Linked DNA regions of Caenorhabditis elegans. The protein of the gene in region 2 purifies or fractionates together with the protein of the main gene of each other region. This does not show direct contact. Each region holds a gene or a part of one and is shown on either strand. Other genes may lie near its edges.

The links.
Region 1: the proteins of smu-1 (region 2) and elpc-4 fractionate together in Caenorhabditis elegans (co-fractionation; one large-scale study listed by BioGRID). This does not show direct contact.
Region 3: the proteins of smu-1 (region 2) and gmap-2 fractionate together in Caenorhabditis elegans (co-fractionation; one large-scale study listed by BioGRID). This does not show direct contact.

The regions. Positions count from the first base shown.
Region 1 is NC_003282.8:8,012,354-8,022,673, forward strand, and holds elpc-4 (Elongator complex protein 4), read left to right. Parts: upstream 1-4,640; 5' UTR 4,641-4,650; coding exon 4,651-4,786; intron 4,787-4,861; coding exon 4,862-5,272; intron 5,273-5,322; coding exon 5,323-5,780; 3' UTR 5,781-5,868; downstream 5,869-10,320. Other genes in the region: Y42H9B.3 (uncharacterized protein), read right to left, coding at 1-74; C26B2.8 (C3H1-type domain-containing protein), read left to right, coding at 1,940-2,000, 2,049-2,170, 2,216-2,309, 2,422-2,580, 2,625-2,686, 2,730-2,865, 2,916-3,044, 3,091-3,284; C26B2.7 (Cytochrome c oxidase assembly protein COX20, mitochondrial), read left to right, coding at 3,927-4,027, 4,078-4,180, 4,235-4,438; dnc-4 (Dynactin subunit 4), read right to left, coding at 5,950-6,166, 6,211-6,452, 6,497-6,929, 6,976-7,093, 7,139-7,266, 7,332-7,435; C26B2.2 (Membrane-associated kinase regulator), read right to left, coding at 8,852-9,247, 9,294-9,433, 9,480-9,573, 9,619-9,642.
Region 2 is NC_003279.8:12,990,142-13,001,789, forward strand, and holds the start of smu-1 (Smu-1 suppressor of mec-8 and unc-52 protein), read left to right. Parts: upstream 1-5,661; 5' UTR 5,662-5,747; coding exon 5,748-5,776; intron 5,777-5,863; coding exon 5,864-5,930; intron 5,931-5,983; coding exon 5,984-6,127; intron 6,128-6,423; coding exon 6,424-6,823; intron 6,824-7,815; coding exon 7,816-7,940; intron 7,941-8,787; coding exon 8,788-9,017; intron 9,018-9,330; coding exon 9,331-9,427; intron 9,428-10,393; coding exon 10,394-10,582; intron 10,583-11,086; coding exon 11,087-11,156; intron 11,157-11,343; coding exon 11,344-11,426; intron 11,427-11,648. Other genes in the region: nlp-15 (Neuropeptide-Like Protein), read left to right, coding at 4,086-4,280, 4,767-4,910, 4,962-4,994. UniProt on the Caenorhabditis elegans protein: Involved in pre-mRNA splicing as a component of the spliceosome. Selectively regulates alternative splicing of unc-52 exon 17.
Region 3 is NC_003284.9:12,936,406-12,946,998, reverse strand, and holds gmap-2 (GM2 Activator Protein family member), read left to right. Parts: upstream 1-3,732; 5' UTR 3,733-3,739; coding exon 3,740-3,845; intron 3,846-3,895; coding exon 3,896-3,993; intron 3,994-4,096; coding exon 4,097-4,236; intron 4,237-4,459; exon of another isoform or gene 4,460-4,541; intron 4,542-4,691; coding exon 4,692-4,791; intron 4,792-4,845; coding exon 4,846-4,962; intron 4,963-5,008; coding exon 5,009-5,085; intron 5,086-5,260; coding exon 5,261-5,447; 3' UTR 5,448-5,557; downstream 5,558-10,593. Other genes in the region: nssp-88 (Neuropeptide-Like Protein), read left to right, coding at 437-499, 551-610, 659-760, 1,058-1,147, 1,228-1,383; gmap-3 (GM2 Activator Protein family member), read left to right, coding at 6,288-6,447, 6,491-6,612, 7,516-7,631, 7,686-7,896, 7,942-8,073, 8,130-8,249.

The DNA.
Region 1 (10,320 bases), on a different chromosome or scaffold from region 2:
TATCTTTTTGGTGTTGTTGCTATGATCGGTGACAGAGTGTATATGTTCTCAATTTCAGCATATGTCTGGTCCATTTGCTGAAATTGTAATTGATGAAGTGGGAGAAGAGAGGTGAGAGTGCAAGATAATTAGGTGATAGGTCATTGAGCAGCTGTAATTATTAGTACCACAATAGGGAAAAGAGAAATATGAGATGGATTATGATGGTTTATATGTATTAATATTATCAACGATCATCTGGAAAAGGATATGAGGGGAAACAATAAGGTAATAGTATCATCAACAACAGCTGTGTGATATTTGGAATATAATTTGGTGAAATTATTGGCTAGGCAACAACTCAAAAATTATGAAAACGTTTTAGTTGGAAGAGCATAGCAAGAATGTAACGAGACTATTTGAAAAATATTTTCTAAAATAAGTTAACAAAAAAAAATCCAACTCAAAAAATCCAACTAAAATCACAAGCTATTGAAATCACTGGAATGGTTCGAAACAAAAACAACAAAATCTATGTAAATAAGGAGAACTACCAAGAAAATTAATTACAAAAATTGAACGCATACTAAGAATATATAATAAACACAGTGAGCCCAAGCACATCCTCAACATTCTCCCCCCGTCCACCCAGTCTAGCTCCACCCTCACTATCTACGAGCCATCGAAACAACTGCAGCAGACAGCTGGAAACATTTTCCCACTGTAGGGATCAAAAGATCAAAGATTAGTTTTGACAATTTTGTGAACGATTTTTTAGATTCTGAAAAAGGTTTTTTTTTTTGGTAAAAAACTAGTCGAGATAGAAATCTGTAAGTTTAATAATGTAAAAAATTAAATTTAAAAACCAAATTTGGGAGAAAAAGATGAGAGAAATTGCAATTTTGAAATTGAAAGGGGATATTTATGTTCATGAAGATTTAGTAAAAATCTAAACTTCAATTGGAAACTCTCATAAATAGGCTAACCTTCGAATAAATGACCAAAACATAGATTTGGCATTCTAAATATCAATCCATAATATAAAAATTGAGATGATACAGGTGTACATTGCTCTGTGGGTGATCACAACACAATAGCGTTAAATTGGCAAGTGTGGATATGATGGAACATCTGGAATGGAACGCGAAGAGCAGAGTTGATTTAGGAGCAAAAGATCAGTCCAGGTGTAAAATTGGGTCACAATGATGTTTCAATGTGTTTTCAGTTCTACGTGTAACAGACCCTCATCTTGTTGATATGGAAGAGCATATTAATAATTTCGTTAGTAACTATCTAGCTGCCAGACAATCTCACTTCCACACTTACAATCACACTCAGACAGAATACTTCAACTTGCTACCGTAATATTGTTTATTGTCGCCTTCCGGTTTAATTGCAGGTGCACCAATCTCCACCTTCACTCACGAATCACCTTCTTTGACCTACATTTTCAACTTGTAAAGACACCTGTGAAACATCATGGTACGGTACATTGGAGATACTGTTGACTTTCAAACAATTACAGAATCGATTAAAAAACTATTTACTGTTAGATACAGGTTACTTGGTATTACACACCCACTTCGCCTTCATACACTCTTCACTTTTTCCAAAGATCTAAAGATTGAGCACACAAGAGAAACTACAGAATGGTCAGTAATTATCGGCAGATTAAAAAGATATTTCCCTGCGTTCACACCCTTTCTTTGTCTATCCTAGTACCCATGAGAACCGTCAGATAACGCCGAGTTTTTTTTTGGAAATCGATTTCATATTCCAAGTTTGGTCAACAAGAATGTGTTGGGCATCATGTTTGCGAGCGGATTTGGATTGGCACGTAAATATAAACAAACGCTTCCTGCTCGAGGTGCGACCATGGGCTCCGCGGTATATAAATCACCGAGAAATGCTACATTTCATAGCCGTCTTCCTTATTTGTTTTTTGCCAGCTATCGATAACATGCTCAACACGGTTTTTATTATGCTACTTCTCCCCGCAGCAGGATTATGTGCTAGATACAGTAAGATTGAAATTCAAAGTTAGGCTGTGTTTACAGTGAAAATTCTAGATTCACACCTCGTCAAAGGATGGTCCAATTCGGATTGTGTTCGCCCTTGGCAACAACCGTTAATGAGTAAACCAACATTAAGAATACCATCGAGAGCTATCGAATGCCATCCAGAAGAACACGTAGGTCTATTTTATGAAGAGTTCAATAATCAGAACCAATTACAGGATTGTCCAACAGGAAGAAATGCGGTATGCCAATACTCATTAAGAAGTCAGAAATATGTCTGCTGTGAGGACAAGAAAGATGCCGACATCCCGAGTGAGTTGACGCGACGATCTCTTTGACACATTGCCGTCTTCCTCCCGCCACGTGTCAAAGAGACCGCACGTATCTCTCATACTTCCGGTACGATCTAATATTCTTCTTTCAGCATGTCCAAAGTTCTATGAGACTCTTCTCTTGCCATGTGGGAATTCAGTTGATTCGCAATGCCCACGTGGATACCGATGTCTGGGAAGTCTCGGAGATGATTCGGTTAAACTTTGCTGCAAACCTAACAGAACATTAGAATACAGAGAACCAGAACACAGTAGGTGGCTGAGATAAAAGAATAAGGACATAATATTATTACAGCATTCCGAGAGAATCGAATTGTCCCTCGTCTGTTGCCAGTTGCTCCGGCATATGAACTAATTGTATGTTAAATGATGAATATAATACTAAACAACTTGATTGTAGGCAACCTTTAGCGACGAACAAATATCGATGGGTCAACTTTTCGACGCTGATATACTGGACAAACTTGCAGATCCTCCAGTCATGTCAGCAGGAGTTGAACTTCAAGACGAGAAGCTCTATACAATTATACTTGCAGGTTTTTTTGCTACAGTTAATTACAGGTATAATAAGCATTGTTATTGACAGATGCTACCTCAAAGGCTGTCACTTGGCTGGTTGCAAATATTGCGGCATTTGATGGACAGCTTGAGATTCATAGAAGAACAAAGTCTGCTGTGTCTTATCAACCCCCAGATTCTACTGATAGACCAGTTGGTAAGCTCGAATATATTTTTTCGTAATCTTAAACACAAAATTTAAGGAATGCACACCATGATTCTTGCGCTCTATGAGCAGAATGACACGTGGACACAGAAAGATTTGGCTAGAATTGCAATGGATGATTTCAACTTTACAGAATGGCTTGAAGAATATGCCCATGTACTTCCTGCACAGGCACTTGCAGCAACATTTTATGGATATTCTACTAAAAAGGACGATAGAAAACGAATCTAATTTATAATAACTTAAGATTCCTATTTATGTACAAATTTTAATATATAAAAAGAATGAAACATACGATAAAAAGTTACTAAAAAATAATTAAAATGAGAAAAAAAAACAATGTTAAAATTAGCGGCGAAAAGCTAGATTATTTACGATAAACAACATGCGCGCCCGTCATTTCGGAGTCTCGTAGTTTCAACAATCTTTTTTTTTGAGGCCCCACGAAAAGGGGAGCAGAACGAAAAGGGGATCTGAAAAAAGGGGATCTGCGAAAAGGGGAGATACGAAAAGGGGAGATACGAAAAGGGGAGCAACGAAAAGGGGATCTGACACTGTGCCAAACGCTATTTTTCTCGAAGAAAACGATACAACGATGCTCCGATGTTACGCGTCGCGTGTTGTTAAGCGTATCTTCTAGAAGAAAATTTCAAAAATCAACGTGCGTTGCGTGAGAAAAATTGCGTTTTGTGCGTTTGGCACAGTGCCAGCTCCCCTTTTCGTTGCTCCCCTTTTCGTATCTCCCCTTTTCGTATCTCCCCTTTTCGCAGATCCCCTTTTTGCAGATCCCCTTTTCGTTCTGCTCCCCTTTTCGTGGGGCCTCTTTTTTGAGGAAATTAATTTTATAAAATTATTTTGAATTTCCTTTTTAAGATGCTTCGCATTATCCAACGTATTCCTACTGAACGATATCTCTGTACTCTTCCTGTGAAAAATCCAAAGCTTCACAGAACTAAAGATCAGAGAGATATTACGTAAGATTATGCTTTTTTAAACCTTCAAGTTTTTAATCAACAATTTTCAGAAACATGGACTTACTTGAAGAACAAATTCGTATTAAAAGCGCAGAAAAAAATCGCGAAATGACAATACAAGGACAGAAAGTGAAATGGGCTTATCGATCAGAGGTAAATTATATATACTGAAGAATATTCTAAAAACTGATTTAAATTGATTTCCAGCTTGTCGGCCGACATGACCTCGATAAAAATCATCGTAATACATGGATGGCTTACCTAATCATTATTCTTGTCGGATTCGGTGCGTTTGTAACAGTGAAATCTCAGGTGGTAATGGGTCGACGCCAGGAAATGGATGCTCGCGAAGCTCTCAGAAAGGAGCTGCAATTGAGTGGAGACGATCGAAAAAAGATTGGAGTAGTCTGATAATAATTCATATTGTTTTATTGCGGGTTTCTTTATATATTTTTTAGTTAGAACCCTATTTTTGTTTTTAGAAATAATAATTAGTTTGTTTAAATCTCATTTTTCTTTTCTGTTTCTCAAATTACATTATGGTTTGGTAATAACCTTGCAAATATTTTTATCGTAATTTCCTGGTCAACATCAATATTTCATATTTTTAAAGTAATTTCAGAATGTTGAACGTTGGTGATAGTGTTCAAATTGCCGGATGTTCAACAAAGAAACGCTTACTGGAAACTTCAAGTGGTTGCGATTCATTTGACACACTCATTGGAGGAGCTTTAGTTAATTCAAGTATTGTTCTCATAGGTAATTTATTAATTTAGTTGCTACCTGTTCATTAAATACCCGCTAACCTAAAATTAAAATCACATTCATTTTCAGACGAGTATCGTTCTCGTTGCTATGGATCTTATCTCATTCGTTCATTCCTCGCAGAAGGACTTCATCATGGTCATCGATGCTTCATTGCGGATCCCACGGAAGATCCCAAAGAGATCAATCTCATACCATCTAGAAGAACATCCACGGATATGCAAAATCAAGAAATTCCAAATTCTCTGCCGGCAGAAAATGAAAACTCGATGAAAATTGCGTGGCGGTATGGAAATGTAAAACAAGTTTCCTCTTCCCTTGGACCATTAAGCAACGAAAATCAGTATGACTTTACGAAGCATGTAGAGAATCCGAATGTTGACGTGTATGCGGAGAAAGTTTTTACGCTAAAAGGGATTTACGAGACGCTCTGCCAAATTGTAAAAGAAAATGAAGCTCACACAAAATCCGGCGGAAGAGGTGAGATTTTTATTGAATTATTATACATAAACTAATGAATTTTACTTCAGGTGGACCGAAAAAGAATCTTCTTCGAGTGGTTCTGAAGAATATCGATATGGAAATTTGTGAAGATTACAAGTTCCTTGGCCGATTCCTGTGCTGTCTCCGATCTTTAGCTCGTTCGAGTTACATGATTGTATACATCACGGCTAACTCCTTCAGAGTTCCGAAACCAACTTGGCGTATACTGGAATCCGCAGCTGATACACATATTCAACTGATGCCGTTTGATGAAAATGAGAAGAAAATGTTCAAACATCTTGGCACTGCTCATGGATACTTCCATTTGAAGAGTTTGCCCCGATTGATGTCCGTTGGAACACACACTCCACCGATTCTCGATCTTATTTTTGAAGCAAGTTCCAGAAAAGGTTTCCAAATTCGAGTGATGCATCTTCCACCTGCATTTGATGAGCCAGCTCCAGGTCATCAAAATACTCCATCTTGCCAGAATATTGATTTTTGATTTTCTCGATCATGTTTATTTGTTGTTGGGATGTTTGAATGTTGAATTTTAAAGTATTTAATTTAAAGCATAAAAACGTCTTCTAAATATTTAACAAAGCTTATAAATTATGTTTAAGAAAAGACACGCTGTGGTAGAGAAAGGATAGAAACAAATATACATGAAATGATTATCTGAGATCTACTTTTAAATTAGCAGAGAGAATTGGATCAGGACACGTTTCTTCTGGTTTCAATATTTTGTCACTAGCGGAGGAGAGACGGAACGATCCATCCTGACAATATGTAATCAAAAGATTGAGACATGGAGAAGAGAGATCCATCTCGGTGGGAATAACATCCAGTCGAAGGCCAACTCGGTTGTGCTGTCGGAACACGATGACGTCACTGGAATACCATTTTTAGTCAATTAAAAACAAGAAAAAACTAACCTTTGGTCAGCATGAACTCCAGGAGCAGCAGTATCCGATGCTCGCGATGATGGAAGAAGAAGCTGGATTGGATCACTGGAACATTGAATGAAACCATTTCCAGATTGAGGTGCGATAGTCAAATCCATTGCAGATGATGATAAGTTGGTAATAGAGAGAAATACGTGTGATGTCTCCCCAACTTTAAGATCATCAACCGGTCGAGACATTCTGATGTCAGGAACAAATTGACGGGCAAATGACTGAAATTTAAACTTTTTACATTATTGTTGAATGAGCTACTCACCGAAATTTTAAATTTAAAGGTAGTAACTCCGAAGTCTCGTTTGATAAGAGTTCTTTCGCACTCATCACATCGAACTTGAACTCTTCCAGCCAGAGGAACTTGTACAGGAAGGAGTGGCTCAGAGATATTGATCAATGGTTGCATTATGATTTGATCGAGAGTTCTCAGATCATCCGTTCTTTCTTTAATCTCATCTTCAAGAGTCGGCGCTTCTGTTGGAGCATGTGCATCAACTGGATTCATTTCAGGAGCCAGTGCTTTTTTCCGCTTATCTACCATTTGTTGAAATCCAAACTTGTCTTTCAAGTGAAAAGCAGTCCAGGCTTTGCCCGATTTTCCCTTTTTCAAATCTTTTGGAGCATTTTCAATCAATTCAAGTCTCTTCATGTATGCCGTCACCTCACCAAGTTGATTAACCAATGGATTTTCTTTTCTGTATAAATAAAATGTCATAAGATCATATTTACAGTTAGTCATACGTTGGCCAGGATTTAGTATTCTCTTGATCTTCTTGATTCGCTTCTCTTGAAGACCAACGACAGTACTGACAAACCAAATATACATTATCATTTTCTGTACGAGCACTCAGAACGTTAGCTGAAAATATTCAAATATATTTACAAAATAGTGGATAAATCATACCACACTTAGGACAATCATTGCAACTTGCGCATTTATGCTTTTTAAGTCTTGCTTCAGGGACGCTTGATGGTTCAAGGCATCGAGGACAGAAAATATTGTCAACTTCTCCCAAGCTACAGTCATCACACCTGGAAAAGTTGGTTAATTTTTTTTTTCAATTATTTTTAGACAATTACCCATTAAAAAAACTTACTTAATTTTGAAGCAATATCGGCAGAAAACAAGGTCCGGAAGGGTTCGAAATTTTCCACAGGTGCACTCGTATTTGATTCGACTGTACTGCAGCAACTCGCTCATATTGAGAACCGCAACCGCTCCTAAATGTTAAATTTTTAATTCGAAAATTTGAAAAAGTAGCAGTTTAATGTTATTTTAATCACAAAAATTAATGTTAAACTTAAATAATTATTTTTGTAAAAAAAACTATTTCACAACACGATCTCGTCCCTCGGCCGCGCTGAGATTTCTCGGCCACAGTATCGCACTCTCTCCTTTTAACATGGTCTCTCGCACGAGAAATTAGTACCCGCACAACTGGAATACGGAAAACTCAATTAATGTTGAAAATGCATATAAATAAATACGAAGGTTATTGAGGATGGAACACCTTTGACTTGACATCAATTACAAATATTTTAGAAAACAAATTAACTAATATTTTATAATCCGGATAGGGATTTCATTTGGGAGAAGATTGCATTTTACATACTAATTAAAATTGGGCTGGCAGGTCGTCGACGCAAGTGTATGTTATTACAGGAACACGATATTCTAAGAATGCATATTGCGCAACATATTTATAAAAATATATATTTGACGCGAAATAAACAAAATATCTCGTAACGAAAACTACAGTAACTCTTTTCATAAGTAACTACTGTACTGGTGTCGATTTACGGAAATAATTTTTAATCGATAAAATATAAATGGAAAACAGAAAAATGACAAAACAGTACGAATAAAACAAAAAAATAAAATCTCTGCCACAAGTGTTTTCGAACGGTAATTCGTTTCGAAAATCGGGACCGTAAATCGACACCAGCGCTACAGTAGTCATTTAAAAAAGTTTCGTAGTTTTCGCTATGAGATATTTAGTTCGTCAAATATGTTGGCAGTGAAATTCTCACTCGTTTTTCTTGGATAGTTGGGTAGAGTAAAGGGCTGGCAGTGAAACCGTACCAAACCACGCTATCGTGGTAGGCGTGATACAAGTAGTTGTACTACTTTGGCGAAAAGACCTTCCTAATCTGCAAAATCTTGAAGGTATACTGAAAATAAGATCGAGATTTGAGAAGCTGAAATTGTCGAACCTTTGATACTCATGTCAAAACTCCGATACAACATTGTAAATTTTTTGTGTGCTTAGCCTTCACGTGAAAAGTGAGTTTTCCACTGAACACCGTGAATTTCAGAAACATTTTCAGAGCGGAATTTACAGATTTCCAGAGGTCTTCGGCAAAATTTTATTTGATTCTGGTAGCTGATTACTTAATCTTTTCACAAAAAAATAAAGTATAACTTCTGTTATACTTCCAAGTTTATCCTAAGACCTAGTCAGAGAGGCATTTTTCTATTATATTCAGCACAAAAGAATGTAATTGGTTCTCAGTGAACATATTCTTAAACGACGTTTTAGTGTATTCTTCCCAAAAATCAAAAAAATTAACATTTACTAGATTGCAAGTTTATTCAAGTTCAAGAGATTCGCCTTCTTTAATCAAAACAATCGGCCACTTTAACGAACAACTCAAGGCTGCCGTCAGTCCCAGATGGAACGAGTTTTCCAAATTCGTGCTGCTTTTCGGTAAAAGTAGACGAAACGGACGTATGGGAACTGATGGATGAAGCATCAGAAGCGTGAGAAGAGGACGAAGAATATATAACTCCCAAGTTCACATAAATAGTCGGTGGCGATTTTGAAGATGGAGCTGGCGGGTTATAGTCTCTTCCGAAGATCTTGTTAATCTGCGACAAGTCGACCATTGACCTCTTCTTGCGAGTATTTCTACCCTTGAGAACCTGTTTTGCAGGGTTCATCGTGATTTTCGATCCGATCTCAGACTTTTCCGAGTTAAAATTAGTTGCCGATGATGAAAGCGATAGGTTTTTCTAAAAGTTCAGAATATTAAACTTTCCAGCAAAAAATATGATTTACCACAGTCGAACTAGACATCATTTGAGGAACAAATCCACACGAGGCGATTGTGATTGGCTTGTTTTCAGTCAGATTTAACTCGGAATTGCGTCTCGAGGAAGTCAATTCTTCATCTGCATCAGCCAAGTCTTTAAGATATACTGAAAAATTAAAATGGGTCTCCAATTATTTTCCGCCATTGCAAACCTTTGTAAGTCATGTCGAAGCTCTTGTTGGCCGGGAAATTCGTGAAAAAATCGTTGAATGTCGATATTATGTCACTTGCAGACATGTGAGCACTCTGAAAGTTTAAAAGTTGACATTTAATTGAAAGCACAAAAATTACCTCTTTAGCTTTTCGAGAAGTCATTGTGACCGTTTACAATGAATCAATTCAAAATACACAATACATTTTTTTTGAAGTTTCCAAGTATAGAAAATAAATTTGAAACGGTTATCACGTGGATATAAGAGTTAATAATTTTTATATCCAACATGAAAATAATGAAACAATATTTATTAAAAATTTCAGTTAAATCTTTCTACTCTTCAAGGTGTTGTCTCCATGTGAGAAAGCAGGAGTTTTCCATGGCGATCACAGAATCACAAACCGCACTTATGCGCCGAAACATCCGATCGGCGGATCCTGCGTTCACCGGTTTTCAATTTTTGACAATCGGTGAAATCGGCGATTAACACAAAAAATTTGCCGCAAATTTCCGTTTTGTTCTAATGGGGCATATACTAATGAATAAGAACTCAGATGGAAAGTTGAACAAGATTAAAACATTTATAAACGCATTTAAAAAAAGTTGTATTTAAAGTAGTAAGCCACGCCTAAGCCTAAGCCACGCCTAAGCCTAAGCCAAAGCCACGCCTAAGCCTAAGCCTAAGCCTAAGCCTAAGCCTAAGCTAAGAAAATAGTCAACGGAGAGTAACAAACTTTTAACCTCCATAATCATAATCATAATCTATATAATCTATATAATATATATATATATATATATATATATTCTGAAATAATGCTCAATTTATAACATTTTCTAAT
Region 2 (11,648 bases):
GGGGAGAAATTGAAGTTTGGCTTGTTTGCTGGTCTAAATTTTTTTTTCAAATAAATTTTTTTGCGTTGAAGAAATGCCATCAATTATTTGATACTAATTTTGTAATGATAATTTTAAAAAATCTTACAATTCTAAAAACTTCAAAACTAAAAATTTCAGAAATTTTAATTTTTAATTTTTGAATACTTGAAAAAAAAAGTTGAAAAAATCAATTTAAAAAAATTAACTAAACTATTTTTCTTAAATAAAAAAGTGCCGAAGATCTGTTCAATATAGACATATTAAACATAATATCACGCTGAAAATTAGAAAAAAAAACCAAATTTCTACTAAAAAATTTCGAAAAAAATTGTGATTTTAAAAATTTTTCCTCAATTTTTAAGACAATTTTCGACTAAATGCAAGTACCTATTTCCACCTACAAACCATAAATATTCCCACAATTAACCCCTTTTCCATGAGAATATTGTCTTTTTTTCAGCTGTTTTTTCTTCATTTCATTTCCCCATTTCCCAAATGTTTTTCAGCTATTCATCAATTTCTTTTCTCCGAGAAAAAAAAAAACAAAAAAAGCGTCAAGAATCAAAAAAGGTTTTAGCGAAAAATCTGTGAAAAAGGGAAATTACTTCCGTGTTATTTGAATATGAAATGGGCAATAAATTTTGAAAAATAAATTGGTTGAGGCTCGGTGAACACTTGTAGTTTGTAGTCTAAACCGCAACCAACGTGTGGTTAATTGGATAATTGGAATACATTTATTTGTAGTTTGTAGTCTTCAATTTTCAATTTTATCTCAATTTATCAAATTTTAGGTTTTTTTCAATTTCCGAGTTTCCCGAATTTTTAAATTTACTATTAAAAAACTGATAAATAGAGAAATTTTGAGTTAGTTGTTGTCGAAAATATAGGATTTTGAATTTAGAAAATTTTCAAAAAAATTTTTTTTTCAATATCTTAATACTTTAAGCTTTTTCAAAATAATTTTTCAATTTTAAAAAATATTTAAAAAATCAAAAAATTTAATTTTCAAAAAACTTTTTTTTGTTAAATTTAAAAAAATTTCTCAATTTTCAGCTCCTAGGCCTGTACTTCATACAAATTTTGTCCTAACTATAAGTGAAAATTGTCAACAAAAATTAATATAGTTTGAGGTCTATATGCCAAAATTCCCATTTTTAAGCTTCTGATTTTTTCACTTGCAACGAGAAAATGAAAAAGTTGCATCTCTTTTTCTGAAAATGACATACATATATATTTTTGCAAGTATGACGTTCCTTATACACATAATTCAATTTTTCATCACATCCCAGCCCTCCTGAAAATCCGATTTTTGTCACGTTTCCCACCATTTTTTTTTGATTTTTCGTGGCGGGACCCGAATGACGTCAGATATTTTAAATGACACGTATCGGAGCACAATAATCAAATATAGATCAAAGAAATATGTGTGTGTATGTGTGCTCAATGACAAATAGCCTGAAATTCTCCGATTTCGCTCCGATATTTGAGGCTGCTTGCCGGTGAGCTGAAAGACGGGGGAGGTGTCGGTTTTTTTAAGGGATTTTAGGTCATTAGGAAGGGAGAGATGTTAGAAATAACATTAATATAGGATTTTAGGTTTCAGAAATTGAACAAAAACTTATTCGAGGAAAATATAATTTTTTTAAAAAATTTCCGAAAAAATGTTTTTTGACGATTTTTTTTGGAATTTTTTTTTTGAATACTTCCTCTTAAAATTACATTTTTAGTTGTGTAACGTTAAAATTTATGTTATTTTGGATTTTCAGTCTCTGGAAATTAACCTTTTCAACCTTAAAAAAAAAACGTTTACAAAAATGTTCAAATTCAGAACTTTCGAAAAAAACACTTTTTTTTTCTACATTTTTTTTGCATTTAAATTAAAAAAAAAACACAACGATGGCTCGGATGTTAAAAATAATTTTAATTTAGGGTTAGAGTCTGAAAATTTGAAAAAAAATTTTTAAGATAAAATTTTATTTCGAAAAGTAGTTTGAGAATTTTTTCAAATTAATTATTTCCAAGACCATATTTTAGAAAATCGTTATCCAAATTTCACCATTAATTTTCAATGAAAATTTATAGAAAAGCGCTTTCGAATATTGTTAAAGTTAAATGTTTTTTCCGCCTTTTTCAAAATTTAATTTCTTCCAAGGTTCATCAACTATTTTCCAATTTATGTGGGAACTTTTTAATAAATGTTCCAATAAACCGAGATTTGTCGGATTTCATTAATCACTAATTAGTCAAAGTGGGTGAGGCTAAGGGAGACAAACTATAAGTTTTGTTAGCCTTAATTGTTTTCAGTCAATAATATTAGACGTTCTCTGAATTTAAATAAGATCTGAGATGTCTACTGTATTTATGGGGAACAGAGAAAACAAAATTTTCTCCCGACGACAAACTGTAAAACTGCTTTGCCTGAACGTACTATAGTTGTTATGCTGATGGCTTCGGTCTGTGGATAGAACATATTTGTAGTTTTTGAACTTCTGATTTTTTGGAAAATTTTAATTTTGAATTTTGAATTCCACATGTCTTATTAACCCTCACTACACAAATCTCACCCTTGGAGTACTGTAACCAGCGATAAATCGGTGGCCGAGTTTTTCTCCATTCTCGTCCAAAAACCTTTTTCCATTTTCTGACGACTACTCATTATCATAAATAATTAATTGCAACTCGTTCGTTTTCCATGCGCCACAGCCACATCAGCAGAACCCAAAAAACACTAATGCATTTCGTTTTTCTACTGATTAAAATTTCAAAAGGAGGGAATGAATGAAAAGGAACGGAGAGTAATATGTTTTTTTTTGTTTCTTGTGCAAAATGAGTGGGCTGTGGTGGTGGTGATCAAACTTCAATAATATATATGTTATGTGGGAAAGAGGGTAAGGGATTGTATTATTACTAATGTTAGTTAAATTATAGTGATACTCAAGGACCCTTATTTCTAAGAAGAGGAGGAATGGATGTATATAAGTTACTTAGAATCGTAGTAAGTATTTTTCAAAAATTCTATGATGCCACGTGGTATCAGAGCGTCTCATCTCAGTTTGATCTACGTAGATCTACAAAAAATGCGGGAGAAGAGACACTGATTTCGCATGGTTAAGGACGTGCATACGTCACAGTTGTTTGGGCAAAAACATTCGCGCATTTTTTGTAGATCAAACCGTAATGGGACAGCCTGGCACCACGTGTGGTTCCAAAAAACGGCAAAGACGGCAAAGTTTAGTTAACAACGTGAAACCCCTGTTAGTTAGCGGCGGACACTGTGCGTTTATGAATTTCCCCACATTCACGATTACCTATTTTGACAAATTTAGTATTCAACAAAAAAGGGATTAAAAAACGTATTGAAATAAATAAATATATAAAATATATAGCGAAACTTTTTATATATTAACAGAATTCACATTTAACAGTTGAAGACAAAAATATCAAACTTATAGTTTCGAGTGTCCGTCCCCGAACCCCTAAACATTTTTTTGTTAGTAGTCCTAACTTGTTTTCCAGTCCTATATTTCGTACCATAAAATTTATGCCGTGTCTTATGTCCTCCTAACATCCTGACATTTCTCGGAACTTCCTCAACATCTAATCCTCTTCAATCACTGAAGTAAATACTATTTAATCCACCTCTCTTCTTGTCAAGACCCAAGTTTGTGAGTCCTCCTTCCCAAAAAATAAAAAAACAAAATGTATCACATCTCGTGTCCAATGACGCGAAATAAAACGGGGAAGCGAAGAAGTGCGTCAAACGAAATTTTCCAATTACAAAGTGCCAACAAACTCGCCAGGCATCATGATGACATAGACATAAACATGTGTAGGGGGGCCCCTCGTTGATATTGGGATGGCTAGGGGGGTCCTGGTGGAGGGTGAAAGGGAGACACTACAAACTACAGAACTGTGTTAGCTGAGCACTATTTGAATTCAAGACATATAATTCTGTAATACTGCATCAATAGTATACTAACTTAGTTTTTTCTACATTATATAATTTAGGCAAAACTAGTTATTTTATTAACATTTAAAAAGGTTCAAATAGTTTTTAATTCCAGATGTCCACAGTGGAAAGTGCAGCTGTCCGACTACGTCCAGTTGGCTCATTGTTCTTCCTGAATCGACCTCACGAGAAAAGAGCATTCGATTCGTTAGCTGGAAGTGGTTTTGATAATGGATTCAACAAACGAGCATTCGACAGTCTTGCTGGTTCAGGTTTCGGAGCATTCAATAAAAGAGCATTTGATTCATTGGTGAGTTGAAGGTGGCCTTAAGCCATCAGGCGTGTGTGTCTGCCTACTGCCTAACTTTTTTCGGTGATCGATTAGAAAAAGCTGTTCCAAAGTTCGTTAAAAATGTTTAAAATTTTGAAGCAAACATTTTTCAATTGACGAATTTTTAAAAATATTTCTAACGGTTTTTGAGCAAAGTCCAGATTTTTAACAATTTTTTTCATGCTACAAACTACACTTGGTTTCAAAGTGTCTCATTTCGGTTTGATCTACGCAGATCTACAAAAAATGCGGGAGAAGTGACGCGTAGTTCTCAACTGATTTTGCATGGTTGAGAATGTGCTGACGTCACATTTTTCTGCGCGAAAAATTTCCGCATTTTTGTAGATCAAACCGTAATAGGACAGCCTGGCACCACGTGCCCATATGGTTAAGCTCTTGGTGAAAATGTAGTTTGTAGTTTGTAGTTTGTAGTCTTTCCTCTCCAAACAACTCCAAATTTTTCAGGCGGGAAGTGGCTTCGGTGCGTTCAACAAACGCGCTTTTGACTCGCTAGCCGGATCCGGCTTCAGCGGTTTTGACAAAAGAGCTTTCGATTCACTGGCTGGACAAGGTTTTACTGGATTTGAGAAACGCGCCTTTGATACAGTGGTACGGTTTTCGGTGGAAATTCCAGTTTTTCGAATTTTCAATAATTTTCAGAGCACGTCAGGCTTTGACGATTTCAAATTGTGAAGAGCTCACTGATATTTAAAATTTGGTTCAATTCAAGCACATATTTTTGAGGTAAGCAACTGATTTTAATGTTGTTAATCAAATGAAAAGTGAAATTTTTGGAATAATTTTTTTTTGTTTTCAGGTAGCTCCAACGAACGACACACACAAGCCCAGTCCCCCAGTATTCCTGACGACAGCCCCTGCTCACACACTTTTTATTATAATTCCTTTTTTTTCAAACTTTTTTTTCAAATTTTATACTTTAATCTCAAAAAACCTATTCATACGAACACAAGTACCGGTGTGCGTGTGTGAGAATAAGAATTTATTTTAAAAAAATAAAGAATGTCGTCCTGTTTTTTCATATTTATTGAAGAAAATGGAGCTGGAAAAAAATCAATTGTAAAAAACAGAAAAACGTGCTGATAAAATGCATTGTACGCAAACTGTGGATTTTGAGAACTAACGTAGTCAAGCAAAAATCTCTGGAATTTTATCGATTTTTAACGGATAAACTGTTGTTTTTTGTAACTGTGCATGAAAAAAAATCTCAGGCAAAAATATTTTCTGAAAAAAAAAGAGTTTAAACACAAATGCAAGTCCACAAAAAACTCCAATTTGAAATTCGCTCCAAAAACGCAAAACACGCCAAGCGCTCGTGCTGGCGCATTTGCCGATCGCTTCCAAAAAGGCTGGCGCACTTCTCGTGTCCGAGGATATTCGAATTTTACACGTCATTTTCAGCCGTTTTTCACCGAATTTTCGCTGAAAATGTCATCGATTGAGATCGAATCTTCAGAGTAAGTTTATCTAAAAAGTTTTTCATTCAAAATGTGTAAAAATTCATTTAAAATAACCCAAAAATCATTAATCCTCGATATTTTCAGTGTAATCCGTCTCATCGAACAATTCCTCAAAGAATCGAATTTGCACCGAACTCTGGCGATTTTGCAGGTATTTTCCTGCATTTTTCAACTGGGAAAATGAAAGAAAATCGATAATTTCAGGAAGAAACCAACGTTTCGCTCAATACAGTCGACTCAATTGATGGATTTTGTAATGAAATTACGTCTGGAAATTGGGATAACGTGTTGAAAACCGTTCAATCGTTGAAATTACCCGCCAAGAAACTTATCGATCTGTATGAACATGTAAGATATGGGAAAGAAGGAAAAAACCGAGATTTTACTTGAAAAATTGAATTTTTCGCGGGATTTTCACCAAAAATTGTTGAATATTCATTATTTCACGCTGTAAAACAAAAAAAAAAAAAATCAAAAACTACGTTGAAATCGCGTTTTTAAGCGAATTTTCTTCAGAATTGCCAGATTTTAACCCCAAATTTTGCAGTTTTTAAATAAAATTTCACCTTTTCGGCTCAAATTGTAGATTTTCCTGAAAATTTAGTACAAAAAACAATTTCCTCGTAAATTTTTCAAATTTTCAGGTAATAATCGAGCTTGTGGAGCTCCGTGAGCTGGCGACCGCCCGTCTCGTCGCCCGTCAGACTGATCCAATGATTTTGCTAAAACAAATTGATCCGGATCGATTCGCCCGCCTGGAATCTCTTATCAACCGCCCGTATTTCGATGGACAAGAGGTTTATGGAGATGTTAGTAAAGAGAAACGACGCTCCGTAATTGCACAAACTCTTTCATCAGAAGTTCATGTAGTTGCTCCGTCAAGACTTTTGAGTTTACTTGGACAATCACTTAAATGGCAACTTCATCAAGGACTTCTTCCACCTGGAACTGCAATTGATTTATTTAGAGGAAAAGCTGCACAGAAAGAGCAAATTGAAGAAAGATATCCGACTATGATGGCTAGAAGCATTAAATTCTCAACGAGTACGGATTGAAATTGCTTTAAAATTTGAAAAATTGATTAAAAAGTGCATTTTTTAAGCTTTGACCGACTTAAAATTAGATTTCTGAGCCTATTTTCTGAGAATTGGAATTTTTTTCATTGTGAAAGTTCAAAGAATAGCGTGAATGATTAGAAAATATTGTAAAATTTCAATTTTTTCCTATAAAAAAGGATTTTTTTAGGAATCAAAAATTGCAAAATGATGCCCTAAAATTCGAAAATAAATATAAAAATTGGCGGTTTCTCAAAAATCTAGAATTCCGACCTTAATTATTAATTTTTTTACAATATTTTTTTTTGAAAAAAATCCAGAAAATTTGAATTTCGTAGTTTGTAGTCTAGGCCTCTATCAATTAAATTTTCGATTTTTTGAGTAAAATTTCGAATTTACTATTATTTGGACCAAAATTGTATTTTTTTTTCAGAATTAAATTTATAAAATTTTCAGAAATTAAATTTATAAAAAAAAAAAAAAATTAAAAAAAAAAAAAAAAAATTAAAAATTAAAAATTAAAAAATTAAGTTTTTTTTACTCAAAATTTTGCACTGAAATTCGAAAATCTAAAAATCCGACCTAAAGTCTGTATTTTTTCAACAAAAATTCAGAAAAAACTCAAAAACTTGTATTTTGTAGCCAGTCAACCACTTTCTAAAATATCAAATTTGAATTTTTCAAGCATTTTTACATTGAAAAATCTAATTTTTCGAGTGAAACCACTTGAAAATCTGAAAATTGAATTAATTTCTGAACTTTAGAGATTTTTTGTCAAAATTTTAGATAAAGGGATTTTTAAACAAAAAATTGATTTTTTAATCGAAAAATACTGGGATTTATGGGTTTTTTAAAAGAAAAACGGGGGTTTGAATGAAAAATCGCCTGAAATCTTAGAAAATTAATTAAAAAACTATGATTTAATTCCAAAAATTACCGAAAATATCAAATTTTCCATTTTTAAACCCTAAATTCTTTCAGAAAGTTATCCCGAATCGGCAGTTTTCTCACCGGACGCTAATTATCTTGTTTCTGGCTCAAAAGACGGATTTATCGAAGTTTGGAATTATATGAATGGAAAATTGAGAAAGGATTTGAAATATCAGGTAGATTTTTTAGAATTTTTGGGTTTTTGAAGTAGAAAATCATAAAAATCTAGGGTTTTTATGAATTGTTTTGAAGAAAAATTGCAAAAATTCCACAAAATGGAAGAAAAATAACTTTGGAAGCGCATTTTTCGCAAAAAAACCGAAATTTTTGCGTAAAATTTCAAAATTGCAATAAAAATTCCACAAACATCAAATTTCTTAAATTTTTTATAAAAAATTGGATGGAAACACTCTTGAATTTAGAAAAAAAATCAGTTTTTCTCATCTAAAACTTCAAAATTTCGGTGTAATCCCATTAAAATTGCCACAAAATTCGGAAATTTCACCTGAAATAGAGTGAATAATTTAAAATGTTCAGAAATTCATATTTTGTCATTTTAAAAGCATTAAAACAAATCAAAAATCTATTTTTTTTGGTTGGAAAAGTTCAAAATTCTGGAGAAATTACATTAAAATTTTCGTAAAATATGGTAAATAAACGAAAATGTTGAGAAATTAAAGAAAAGTTACAATTTTTAGCTTAAAAATTCAACATTTTGAGGAAATGCCACCTAAAAAAGTGACTAATCGAAAATGTTGAGAAATTAAAATTGCCACCATTTATTTATATAAACTACTCTAAAATTACAATTTTCATGTTAAAAATTAATAAAAAATCTACTTTTTCCAAACTACAGTAACCTTACCGTATACCTACAGTACCTGAACATTGCCCCCCACCAGCTCCCAACCCAATACCTCCTCAAAAACTTACACCTCAATTTTTCATAAACTACAGTAACCCTACCAAAAAAGCACAAAAAAAAATCTACATTCATTTTCCAACAATTTTCAATATTTTCAGGCCCAAGATAATCTAATGATGATGGATGCAGCAGTGAGATGTATATCATTTAGTCGTGATTCTGAAATGCTCGCCACAGGCTCAATTGACGGAAAAATTAAAGTTTGGAAAGTGGAAACTGGTGATTGTCTTCGAAGATTTGATAGAGCTCACACGAAAGGAGTTTGTGCTGTTCGATTCTCAAAAGATAATTCACATATTTTGTCGGGTGGAAATGATCATGTTGTGAGGTACGACTACCTGCCTGCCTACCGCCTAAATTTTTTGTGAAGTTTCTTCAAAAAATCCAGAAAAAAAAACAATTTTCATACGATTTTTTCCCTTAAAATTGTGAATTTTCATGCTTTTTAGCCCCAAAAGTCATTATTTGAGAAAAAATTTCATACAAAAAAGTTTTGAGAAATACACAATTTTTTAAATGTAATTTTCAAATTTTCAATTTTCAACTAGAAAATTCACAAAACTTGTAAATTTTGGACCAAAACATTTATACAATTACTTTTTTTGAATCTAATAACTACAATAACTACAAATTTTGTTCAGAGTTCATGGAATGAAGAGCGGAAAATGTTTGAAGGAAATGCGTGGGCACTCGAGTTATATTACAGATGTCAGATATTCCGATGAGGGAAATCATATTGTGAGTTTTTGAAAAGTGCAGTTTGTAGTCTAATTTTCATTTATTTTCTTTTTAAAAAACGCATCAATTTTTAAATATTTTGGGACAAAATCCGAAAACTGTACTAATTTGTAGTTTGTAAAATTAAAAAAAAAACGCAAAAAAATGTTTTCAAAAATGCTTAGAATAAAAATAAAATTTCTAAAAAATTGAACAAAATAAACATTTAAAAATTCAAAAAGTTTGAAAAAATGCAAAGTTTTTTAATGCAAAAAATATTTAATGTTTAAACAAATTTAAAAAATGTTGTAAGAATATGTTTAGAGACAGTTTTTAAATGTTAAATTGCAAAAAAAAAAAAGCAAAAAAAAATTTGAAAAATGTAACAGAAAATTTTAATTAAAAAAGTCGTGTTTTTTTCAAACCTGCAATTCTTTGTAATTTTATTTATAAAGAGAAACAAATCAAATTGTATATTACGAAAAACGATACTAAAATTCGAAAATTTGCGGTTTTTTGCGTAAAAAATACGGTTCCTGAAAATGGGTGTGCACCTTTAAGGAGTACTGTAGTTCTAAACTTTCATTGCTGCAAAATTTATATCTATTTTTTGAAGTTTTACAATAAAAATAACAATTTTCATTAAATAACTACAATTAAACAGCTAAAAACATATAAGAAATCGCGAGAAAATCGGGAAAAAATTGTAGTTTGTAGTATGTTAGCCGCAATCAAATGCATGTTATCTCTGTATTTCTTTTCTCACACAAATCCCACATATTTCTATGTTTACACACGTCATTTTGTGCACTTTTTCTGACGTTTCCCCTCCATATTGATTTTGCTTTTTACTGTTTAGAAACGTTGCAGAAATCCGGAAAAATTGATTTTTTTTCTATATATATATATTTTTTTCCAAGTTTCAAATTTAAATTTCAGAAAAAAAATTTAGACTTAAAAAAATTAAAAATCCCAAATAATTTCCAGATCTCATGTTCAACAGATGGTTCAATTCGTGTTTGGCATGGAAAATCGGGTGAATGCCTTTCAACATTCCGTGTTGGAAGTGAAGATTATCCAATATTAAATGTGATTCCAATTCCGAAAAGTGATCCACCACAAATGATTGTATGCAATCGATCCAATACCCTCTACGTTGTTAATATTTCTGGACAGGTAACATGATTTTGAAAAAAAGTTTAAGAACTGAAAAATGGAATAAAAATATTTAAGAGCATTTTTAAATGTAAAATTAACAAAAAAAGCGCCTAAGAATGTTTCCAAAACAGTAAAAAAAAGGTTTAAAAAAATGCAAAAAAAAATTTAAGATGCTTTTAATTACACAAAAAATGAAAGTAAAAAAAATTAAAATATTGAAAAATGTATATTTGTTTGAAAAGGTACATTTTTCAATGCAAAAAATGTTTCTAAAAATTAAAAAAATATGTTTAAATTGTGTAAAGTGTAAATTAAAAAATAAAATTATGAAAAAGTATTGTTTCATACTTTTTCTAAATTTTGGTTGAAAAATTTAAAATTCCAGCTTTTTATTCACATTATGTGTTCTAAAAATCTTTCCCCAATTTTCGGGACCGTTTTCCAGTATATTTCCATTTTTCAAAAAGATTTTTAACTGAAATTCATGTTTTCAATGCTAAAAATCAATAAAAAAAATTTCAGGTGGTTCGTACGATGACGTCAGGAAAGCGTGAGAAAGGAGACTTCATCAACTGCATTTTATCGCCGAAAGGTTAATTTTGACCCGAAAATTGAAAAAAAAAACCGATTTCAAAATTCTAATTTTCCCATTTTTTTCTTTAAAATAATTTCTCCTCTGGAAAGGCTCGTAGAGCAGAAAAAGAATTAAATTAGAAACGGATTTTTGTTCAAATTTCCCCCGTTTTCCCCTTCAAAACTTGCAATTCAGTTTCTTACAGGAGAATGGGCATACGCAATTGCAGAGGACGGTGTCATGTACTGTTTTATGGTATTATCGGGTACCCTGGAAACTACTCTTCCCGTAAGTTTAGCCTCTTTTTGAACTCAAATTTTAGTTTAAAAAGCGAGAAAAAGTACAAGGAAAATGAGAAATCAAGTGCATGAATTGATAAGAATAGTATGGTGAGGGTGTGGTTGATGACTAGAAAAAATCGTTTTTTTTTAATCATACACAGATTTTCTTAAAATAAAAACATCAAAAATGTGTCGGACTAATTTTGTAAAATAAAATTTAATCGAAAAA
Region 3 (10,593 bases), on a different chromosome or scaffold from region 2:
TCCCCACTCATAAATAATTCACCTGGAAAACATGATTAGTATGATTTGCAAGCCAGTGAGGAGCACGTCATTTTTTTCCGAACCTAGGTATCCTCTAATTTTCGATGAGTGGTCACACTTATATTTTGCTTTTTTTTTGTCTTTTGCCTTTTCCTTCGCTTTATTTTTCACACTCAGTTTTAATTTATACTGATGTTTTTAAAATTCCGGGTAGTCTATCAAGATTCTTCATTTCCGAATTAACCTTCTCTCTCTTTCTGCATTCAAAGCTCCGCCCCTTGTTTTAACAAAACAGGTGAAGACAAAATCAAATTGCTCCTGCGCTAAAATCGGTTTCATTAACTGCCAGTTAAAATCACCCGGCTCACACTTTTTCTTAATTCCATTCCCAAAAAAATTAATCTCTGAGAATTATACTTGTACTTCACAGGACGACATGCAGTACACCTTCTTTATTCTGATTGCTTTCTTCTTCGCTGGGGTCACCATGGCCAATCAGGTAGGGACACCAAAAATAGTCAAACTTATGAATTATTCGCAAAATGTTTAGGATTGGAAAATGAGGAAGTTTGGAGGCATTGGGGGTGGTGACGACATGGCGCATTTTGATGTAAGCTTTCATGGATGTCAGATTTTTTATTTTAAAATCTAAATTCAGAGGTTCATCACGCACAAACGAGCTATAAACGGGGAGCTCCGCAGGTCCAGTATTCTTTGGGGCAAACGGGCACATGCTTCAGGGCTGAGGAATTTTGAAAGGGTGAGTCAAGGAAATTTTACTTCTTCACTTCTGTGTTTTTTTTGAATTTACATAAAGCGTTTTTTTTTTTGGAACAACACTATTCTATTGATACACTTGAGAAATCCTAATGTTTTGAAGTTTTGGCCACGAGTTTAATGCAGGTGGAATTGTTAATTTTTGGCAAAGATAGAATCACGAGGAAATTTGTCATCCCTAAATAATTTTAAAACTTATAGTTAGCAGGTGCAATCAAATGTAGTGTGTTTTCAATAAACCACTGACTCATTTCATTTATTTCAATTTAATTTAATTCAGGACATCCCTCTGATTCCTGAAGATTTCATGGTGATGTGGCCGGTGGAATCATCCGAGAAAACGATCAAAGATGAGAATAAATTCGAAACGGTAAACAAATTACTTGGAATCCACTCCTTCCTGTTCACTTATGATTCTTGTTTCCAAGATTTCATCGAATCAGATTGCAGACCACAATATTGGCCAAGACTTCAAGACAGTCGTTGAATCAACATGAGACTGAAAATGAGGAAGTGTTTTCTGATGACAATCTGAAAATGGAGCGGGTGGCGAAAGCAGGAATCCGGCCAAAACTTCAACTCAGCAGCCGGCTTTGGGGGCGTTGAAGGTGCAGAAATGAGATAGTTGATACAATTTTTCTTTCCTCCAGTCCTTGTACTTTTGGTGAAATAAAGCTGTTTTGTTAGAGCTGTGATACAAAGTTTCCATCATACAAACAGTCTATTTTCTGTCAACCGAGTATAGCTTAAAAAATTAAAGCGTTTCAACCACGTCCCGATTATTTAAATTTATAATCGAGCAGTTACTAATAAAGGAAATTCAAGTCTGGTTACACCTTTTTTTGTTAAATTTTTTTTTGAAATGTCAGAAGAGATGCTCAACAGTGGGATACTTTTTTATAATTGCAAGACGTGCCTAATCCTTTATATAAGGTTTTGCATTGGACTTCCTTAAACTTAACACTTGTTACATCTTGGAGTTTTCTAAAATATTGTCAAGGTTATTTTGTCATAAAACTATTTTAGTGCACAATTATTCCATTGATTAAAATGCATGTTCAGTAGGTTGATGTGTGCCCAAATTTATTTCTACGCCTTTAAATGAACCGTGAAATAAACCTTTTAATTTGTAATAAAATTTTGCTAATCAGTTTTGATCAAATAAAATTTAGTCCAGTTTTAAGCTCTAGTATGTATACCTGGCCATTCACAAATTCAGAATTTGGTACAACTATCACAAGCGCAGTATTAAAACTGGTTTTGTCTAAAACACTGTACATAAAGTGACATTCAGATGTGTATGTGCGTGATTTCCTGCAAAAATTGTATACCTGAATGTAACGCAAGCAGACCAGCTAACACTTTGCATAGCGCATCGTTTCCTGATCGAATAATAATGATTCACACCTATTATCTATTATCCGCGGTTAGTTGGTGAAAGGAGATGAGGGGATTCTTGGCAAATTCTCGTTTCCGACCAATTCGCAGTCTTTATCGTCTTCCACAATTTCTTAGTATTATTCGTTTTTTGCCCTGCGTGTCGGCCCACCATTCATTTGCCCTTCCACAATATCTTTCGTCACACTTTTCTGTCCAAGCGTGAACCTTTGCTATTCAAGTGCACTCAAGCGAATTGCCAGCATTACAGAAAGTGTATAAAATGATTATAAAGACGGGTGTGAAAACTGTGTATTCGCAAGATGAAAAAGTGTGGACTTTTGGTTAAAGCTAGTGGAAATTTTTATTTATGTTTTAATCGTTCAATGACTCATTTTTCTTATCAAGGGGTTTTTGCAAGATTATATAAGTTTATGATTTTTTTTCATTAAAGTTCATTTTTTAAATTGCGCAAACATGATTGATACGTGAAAAAATGAAAAGATATATTTTTTAATTTTGCTTTACAAAATTGTATTTCGGGGGGCGGATAGCTCAGTCGGTAGTGGTGACCGCTAGAAATCTGGAGGTCATAAGTTCAAGTCCGGCCTCACCCCCTAGGTTCACCCAGCCACTATTGGGCTTAATGGTATTATGCCTATCATAATTTGTAGTCCACAAAAAAATCTTTGTTTGCCAAACTTCATTAGCTCGAATGCTCTTGCGACCACTGTTAAAACATTAATTCGTCCAAAGTAGTTTAAGAGTTATTCTATATGCCGGCGGTATTATTTTTCCACTAAGTTTCCCAAATATTCTATAGTTGAGAACCGAAGTATTATAAAATTACAAATAACTGTTGCGTTATTTCTGACATTGTTTCTGTAGTTTTTGAGATTTTTTGCCCACAAACTCCATCATTCATTTAGGTCTCCATTCTTACAAACAACATTTTGAAGTCGATTTGAAAAGATAGTCACATGAACACTGATTTTGTAAAGCGTCACAAATATTTCCCTTCTCAAACACACCTAGTACACACCATTAAAAGTTCCACATTAGTTCTTGTTCTCGTAACTAGTTTTCTTTTGTGAAATTCCAGAGGAATCAAATTTTATGACAAGTTGAAAAATTAGGGCGGACGACGACGAGGTGAACACTAAATCAAAGACCATTGGAATCTTCAATGTTCTCCTGGTCAGTCATCGTAGAACATTTCGCTTCCTTATTTCAGTTTATTTTTCCTTGTGGTCTCTGCCATAGTCCCGTTTTGATTGAAAGTCTAGGTCCTTCAACAATGCATATCATACCCGATTCTCTTTTTTCATGCTTAGACAGATCTCTAAGCTTACGTAACAGGTTCCTTCCATTCGTATCGTTTTGCCCCATTTGACGATTTTTCTTTTTCACAGCTACTTTCTTGCCGCATTTGCATTAAATGCTAAACTAAGATTGATTCAAATATTAGATATGAAGATGTTTCGATGATGGAACTATTTGAATTCAGTGACTTCTGTGACTTTTTCTATACTGTTCTTGTAACTTTCTGTAAATTTTTACATAAACGGTATCTTACAGATTTGTCATGATTACAAACTGCCTGATATTACTGGCAATTTTGTTTGGATTTGCATCGACTCAGTATCTGAACTTAAACCTTCATAGACATCAAAGTTGTGCATGGAGAAAAAGTAATTATTAAACTATCGTTGTCACTTTTTTAATACTTTACGTGTTACAGGTTCTCACTGGAACCGCAAAATCGAGTTCCAGGGTGGCCACTCGGATAGTGGAGCGCTACTCAAGTCAACTGAACAGAAAGGGTGCTATGCAATTAGTGTGAGTTAGCCCCCAAGAGTGTTTTATTTTGATTTTTGAAAAACAATAACAATGCTTGATGATTGACGTTATTACAATAATAATAATAATTCATTTTCTTTAGGGAAAAGTGAAAATTCATGAGGATGTGAGCGACGAGTTGTTGATCTACTTGTCCGTGTCGACCACTGGTGACACTCAAAGACCACCGGAAGTGTGCAGGGATGCCAATCCGGACACTGGTTGTGGAGGTGTTGGATCATGGTAATGAGTTATTGACAGAAATATTAGGGAAATCATCAAGATTCTAGAGCTAGAAAAAACATTAGGAAATGAAAAAAAAGCCTTTTGAGCAGTTAATGATAGATGAACAGCTGTGAAGTACCTAAAAGTTTTAAGTTAGAGGTCACTCTTAAAACAAAAAGTATAACTATAACAATTTCATACATAAGTGTTTAACCTGCAAAATAAATTAAAAAAAAAGAACTGAAGAGAGTGGGATTCGAACCCACGCCCCCGAAGGGACTGGTGCCTTAAACCAGCGCCTTAGACCGCTCGGCCATCTCTCCACGTACTACGCTATCATAATTTGTCGTTATGTTATAACTTCAAACAACAAGATTTAGTTGTATTTCGATGATTACGAAATTTAAATTTTCGAACTTGAAAATTTGTTGTTTTGTTGTTTCCAAAAAATGACGTAAACACTGCTGTTTCAGTCTCTACTGCCGGCCATGTGATTCTTTGGACTCTCTCACGAAAATTCTCGGAGCTCAACTTGTTGTGAACGGCAAACCAGCAGGATGTGAGCCATTAAAAGTGAGCAACATCGTTAAAAAAAATTTACGATGCAGTCAATAACACTATTTTTAGAAAGGAGAATATGATAATGTTGAACTCCGTTTCTGCCTTCCGAAATTAGCTGCATTGTTGGAATGGCAGGGAATTTCAGAAGACGCGTTAGATCACATTTTAGCTGCTACTACTCAGGTTTGACAAAATGAAAATAATTATTGAAAGAAAAAGTGTGTTTCAGGAAGGAAATGGTCCACCAAAGCTTAGTCTATTTGTGACCGTTTATTTGTTCGACAAGGATATTAAACCTCTTCTAGTGTAAGTTCTGAAAATTAAATAGGTTTTAGCCAGATTTACAGTTTCATATACCATCTAACAACCATTCACTATATTCGAGACATATATGTCACATACATTACAGCTATATGAAAAATAACACTATTTTTCACGAGTAGAAAATTTTTAAACAAATAGAAAAATGAAATAATTTCAGCTCTCAACGAAAACTAGAATCTCGCATCCGTGAACTTCGCAAACTTGGCGCTGATGAGCCAGTTGACTCTCAAACTTATTGGAATCTGCCATTCAATCAAATTATCAAAAAGCAGTCAGTTTTCGTTGGATGTCACAAACTTTACGGAACCATTAGCTTGAGCGACATTCAAGCCAAGAAGAAATAAGAAAATATATTTGGATGAACAACGATGATAACTTCATGTTTATTCATTTCGTTTATGCGGGTTCATTTTTTGTGAATTATGAAATAAACACAATAAAAATTATGAATTAGATAAGCAAATTGATCTTGACATTTAATAAATAACAGTCAATCTTTATGGTGATACTGTGCTCAAAGACTCGTTGTGTAAAAAACAACAGTTTTGTCTGGTATCCTTTTGAGTATGTTTTTTTACATTTCTTCAATATGCATTTTATTCAATACAACCTCAATATTTTGCTAGCCTCAAAATGTTTCTGGGATTTTGTTCAAAGTATTCTGTATACCCTTTACTTCTAGAATTTTTATTCTTGTGTATACAACAGTACACGAATTCTACAGAAAAATCTTGCAAAGTTACTAATAGTAAGGAAAACTGGAACTATATATGTTGTTGGTTAGAGATCATAAAGTGATATTTATGTAACACATCTGTAAAACTTTATTGCATTTGTTCTCACTACTAGTTGAAGGACATAAGGCTTTTGATTCATTATTTTCCTTTTTTTTTACTTTTTTCCCCTTTCCTTTTCTTTTAATCTCTTCATCTTTTCAGAATCTCATAACCTTCATGACCTCGAAACGCCATCCGACAATCATTTCACATTGAGGTAAAAGTAACACGAAAAAGAAAGAAAAAACGAGAAAAGTGGTTTTGATGGCTGTCAGACTTTTATTACACATTTGTACAATTCATATCTATATTCCCCTTTCACCCCCACCGTCACTGTAAACTATTCTAAAATCCAGCTGAAAAGGGGTGTGAAAGAAGGGCACGTCCTCGTCGCTTACTTCATAAGCCATGACACCTTCATTTGCGCATCGGTTTCAGTCGCAGATGTTGGTCGTTTTCTTAGCTTCATCGTGTCTTTTCGTTTCCATTTCCAACGCGTTGGAAAACGTTGAGTTGGGAAAAGATCTGAGTGTAACTCTTGAACTCATCAAACATCAACCATGCAAAAGTAGGTTTACGAGATTTTAAACCAAAGCTTATTTGGTTTTCAGGTGGTAAATGGACAAAGAAGTTAGAATTCGAGTCTGGAAATGATAGGAGAGGCCCGAAACTTGAACCACAAGCCGATAAGCCAAACTGTTTTACTATCGGAGGCCAAGTAGAAGTTCTAGAGGTAAAATATTGTGCTTTTTGTTTTGTTAATATTCCGTGTCTTGAAGGAGGACTAACGGTTTGGATGATTTTGAACGTTCAAACCCAAAATGAGCTCAAATAAACGAGTTTCGTAAGGAAACTTCTGATAAATTTTTCAAAATTTTTTTATGGCGGTTCAAAATTTTGAAAAAAAAATACACTGATTTTAGCTAAAATCTCGATTTTTGGCAACTTTTCCGTGTCGCAGCGGGGGACGTAGTTGACTTTTTTGGAATCATCGCCCTTTATTGCATATTTTGGTAGTTTATCTCATCCAATTTCATTGATTAAGGCACATTTAAAGCCGACAGGTAACCAATTTTGATGATTTTTGGTTACCTATCGGGTTTAAATCAATGAAATGTGATGATAAAAAATTACCAAAAGATGCAGGAGGATAATTCCAAAAAAGACAACTTCGGACCGCTGCGACACGGAAAAGTGGCCGAAAATTGAGATTTTAGCGAAAATCAGTGTATTTTTTTTCAAAATTTATTCATTCCAGCCCAATTCGGATTTATACGTTCAAAATCGTCCGAACCGTTAGTCCGCCTTTAAGACCGTGTTTTTAAGAACATCAACACAATCTGTATCTTTAAATGTAGTCTGTACAATTTAAAAATCACTAAATTATACCTTACTGAATTATTATTGGGCAAATTGAATTTTTTTATGCCAACGTGACAACGTGACAACATTTTAAATCAATATCATTCAAAACTTAATGTTTTTTTTCAGTATTTGTGTAGCGTATCAAAAGTTTAAAAATTATCTTACCCTGAGAAATAAAGAATTCATCACAACTTCTTATTACTCTCTAAGTATATACTTTGAATGAACAATAAAGCTACATAAAAAAATAAATTGAAACTCTCTATTTCAGGACTTTGGCGGAGATTTCTCCATTTATCTTGAGCTGAAGAACACTGCCAAAAAAAATACTGTCCCAGAGAAATGTGTTCGACAACCTGAAAACGGATGTGGAGGATTTGGGTCTTGGTTTGTTGCTATTAATTAATGTTGTCATACAATATTGATTTATCTTTTTTTCAGCCTGTACTGCAATGCATGTGAAACATTCGGTGACAAATTAGGAGTTCGAGCACAGCTGCTCCTCGATGGTCAACCAATCAGCTGCGCTGACGGATTGAAAAAAGGCAGCTATGACAACTTGAAGCTTGCTTTCTGTCTTCCAGACATTGATGATGTCATCAGCTCACAAGGGCTTAGTAAGGAGTCATTCTTGCAGCTGATTCAGGGTGATGTAAGTCTAAAGGTCAAAAAAGCAAAAACTGGCTGGAAATTTCAGGACGGAAACTCTGTTCGTGCTATGGGGATCTTTGCTACAGTCTACGTGTTTGACTCTGACGTCAGCAAACAAATGGCGACTCAAATCAAAATCGAGGGTGTATACCGTAGAACCAAGTACAGTTTTTTCAAGGTAAATCACAAGCTGAATTTTTCTCTTTTTAAAAGAGTATTTCAAAAATGTTACAGGACACTCAACTTCCGGCTGAAGTCTACTGGTCTCTTCCATTCAATCAAATTATCAAAAACCAACAAAGCTACGTGGCATGCCATAAGATTTACGGAAACTTGAAAGTTAACCGTAAATAATTTGTGATTTTCTAACCTAATTTTGCTTGTCTGTAAATAAATTTATTATTTTTTGAAATTTTTTGTGACTGTAAATCATACGATTTGGTGGCCCATGAAACAGTTGACGTGAAATAATACGTGCAAAGGAAGATTTATAACAATCAAATTCAGCAAAGAAAATAACAAGGAAGCTATTTCTGTGGGTGGCAAAAGTTTGACAACACAAACAATTTTATGGACTTCAAACTAAACAGTATAAAAACTGAGACCCGGCCATTACTTTGTATTACATTTTTAAATTAGTCAAATATTTTCAGAGCAAGAACCTGTTTTATTATATTATGGGTTACACATTTTATCTTGCGAGCTATACTTAAAAACCGACTGTTAATATAAATGTTCCATGGAGCCTAAAAATGTATGATTTTGTTACAACTCATTGATAACCATAGTGCCGCTCACTATAGAAATGACACAATGGACAAGAAAAGATCAAAATTTATCCAAAAAAGATAGGTTCCACCGAGATTTGAACTCGGGTCGCAGGATTCAAAGTCCTGAGTGCTAACCGCTACACCATGGAACCCGGTGAGCTTCGAGAACTTGCTCCGAAAGAACATTCGGTTAATAGACATGCTGAGTTTGCTAATGCACTTATCGGGAAGGCCCAGTCGCTCAGTTAGCAGTGAGCACATGAGCGGCTACAATGTGCTAAAGAGTGTCTATCGCAGCGATCAACATTTCTAAATGTCAATTCTGATAGCAAAGTTTTATGGATAACAATTCTGTGTTAATGTAGTTTCCATATACCTTTTTTCGGGTTTCAAAAACTTTATCTTTGGTAAACATCTTTTTTCTGTGTGAAACTTAATTAGTGTATTCTGTTGCTACAATTGTTTCTACCCGATTAATTGATAACTACAGTAGCACTTGCAACAGAGTTTGTACAACTAAAAAAACCTCCAGAACAAACCATAAATATATTCAAAAAAGATAGGTTCCACCGAGATTTGAACTCGGGTCGCAGGATTCAAAGTCCTGAGTGCTAACCGCTACACCATGGAACCCAGCGATCTTCAAGAAGTTTCTCCGAGTTGACAATAAGCTAGCTTTTGATGGACATGTTGCGTTTGCTTATGCACTTATCAAGAGCATTGGAGCTTCCTTAAGAGTGAGCAAAAGGGCGGCTAGCTGTTCGGCGCAAACAAAAAGAATGACTGAAGTCTGCAAAACTAATTTCCGAGAGATCACTATTTTTATTAACAAAATTCAATTTTTTGAAGACATTTATTAAAATACTGGGAGTTTGAAACAAATATATTTCAGTACTAATTGCAATACTAACTTTGTAAAGTGCTTGAACTCATGGTAATCAATCTTCAAAATGTATGATTATAAGACCTGCCCTTTGATACCAATGATTCAGTTTACTGTTATTGAGAGTTTCATTTTTATATTATTTTTGGTAAACCCATTATTCTTCTTATTAATCTTTTTCAATTACCACTCATTTGCCATAAAGAGAACAAGACCGCTGACAATCGGCCACCCTGTGGATCTTAATCGGTTTCCCAAAAGAAACAATTATGGATGTTGTTAGATTACAATCGACTGCAGGTAGAAATATTTTATATTTTTCTAATAAGCAGCAAGACTTCAAAAAGAACATTATTTATATGTTTACCTGTTTCCCAGCATGAAATTACTCGTTAAAGGAAGAGTTTCCTGGCAGGGGAATAATGTTTGAAAATATTAAAATTATACTAAAATTGGCAAAAAAAAATCATGATTGCAAATGCTCAAACAGTCATAATACCAAATCTCTGACTAAACTTTTCGGCAAATCGAAAGTTTGATGACGTATTTTTTAAATACAGTAAATCCGTCCGAACTTGAAATATGAATATTCGCTCTTTCAAAAATGTCAAAATTACTTTTTCATCATCTGAAATACACCTTTCAAGATAAAACACAGCGACGTTCGATCTATTGTGATTTGTGCCACTAAGTTTTAAAAAGCAAATCCAAGGTTTTTTTTCAGTTTTCTGCCACTAATATTGGACACAAATTTTAAAAAAAAATCAAGCTGAAATTATGAGCAATTGGTGGCCAAGAATTTTGATTCAGTCAATATTCTACTATTTTTTCTGTACTTATCTACCCTCTAGATATTTAATTTTCAAGTACTTCAGACTTTGAAAAAACAACCAGTTTTGATATTTTCACTTTTTACTTCACTTGAATTGAACAAGAGTTGAATAGTATTAATGTTTTAATGGTAGGTCAGATGTTCTGAAAACCTGAAATAGCAGTTGAGAAAAAGCAATTTCAAATTTCGCATTCAGTATTCACAATGAAACAG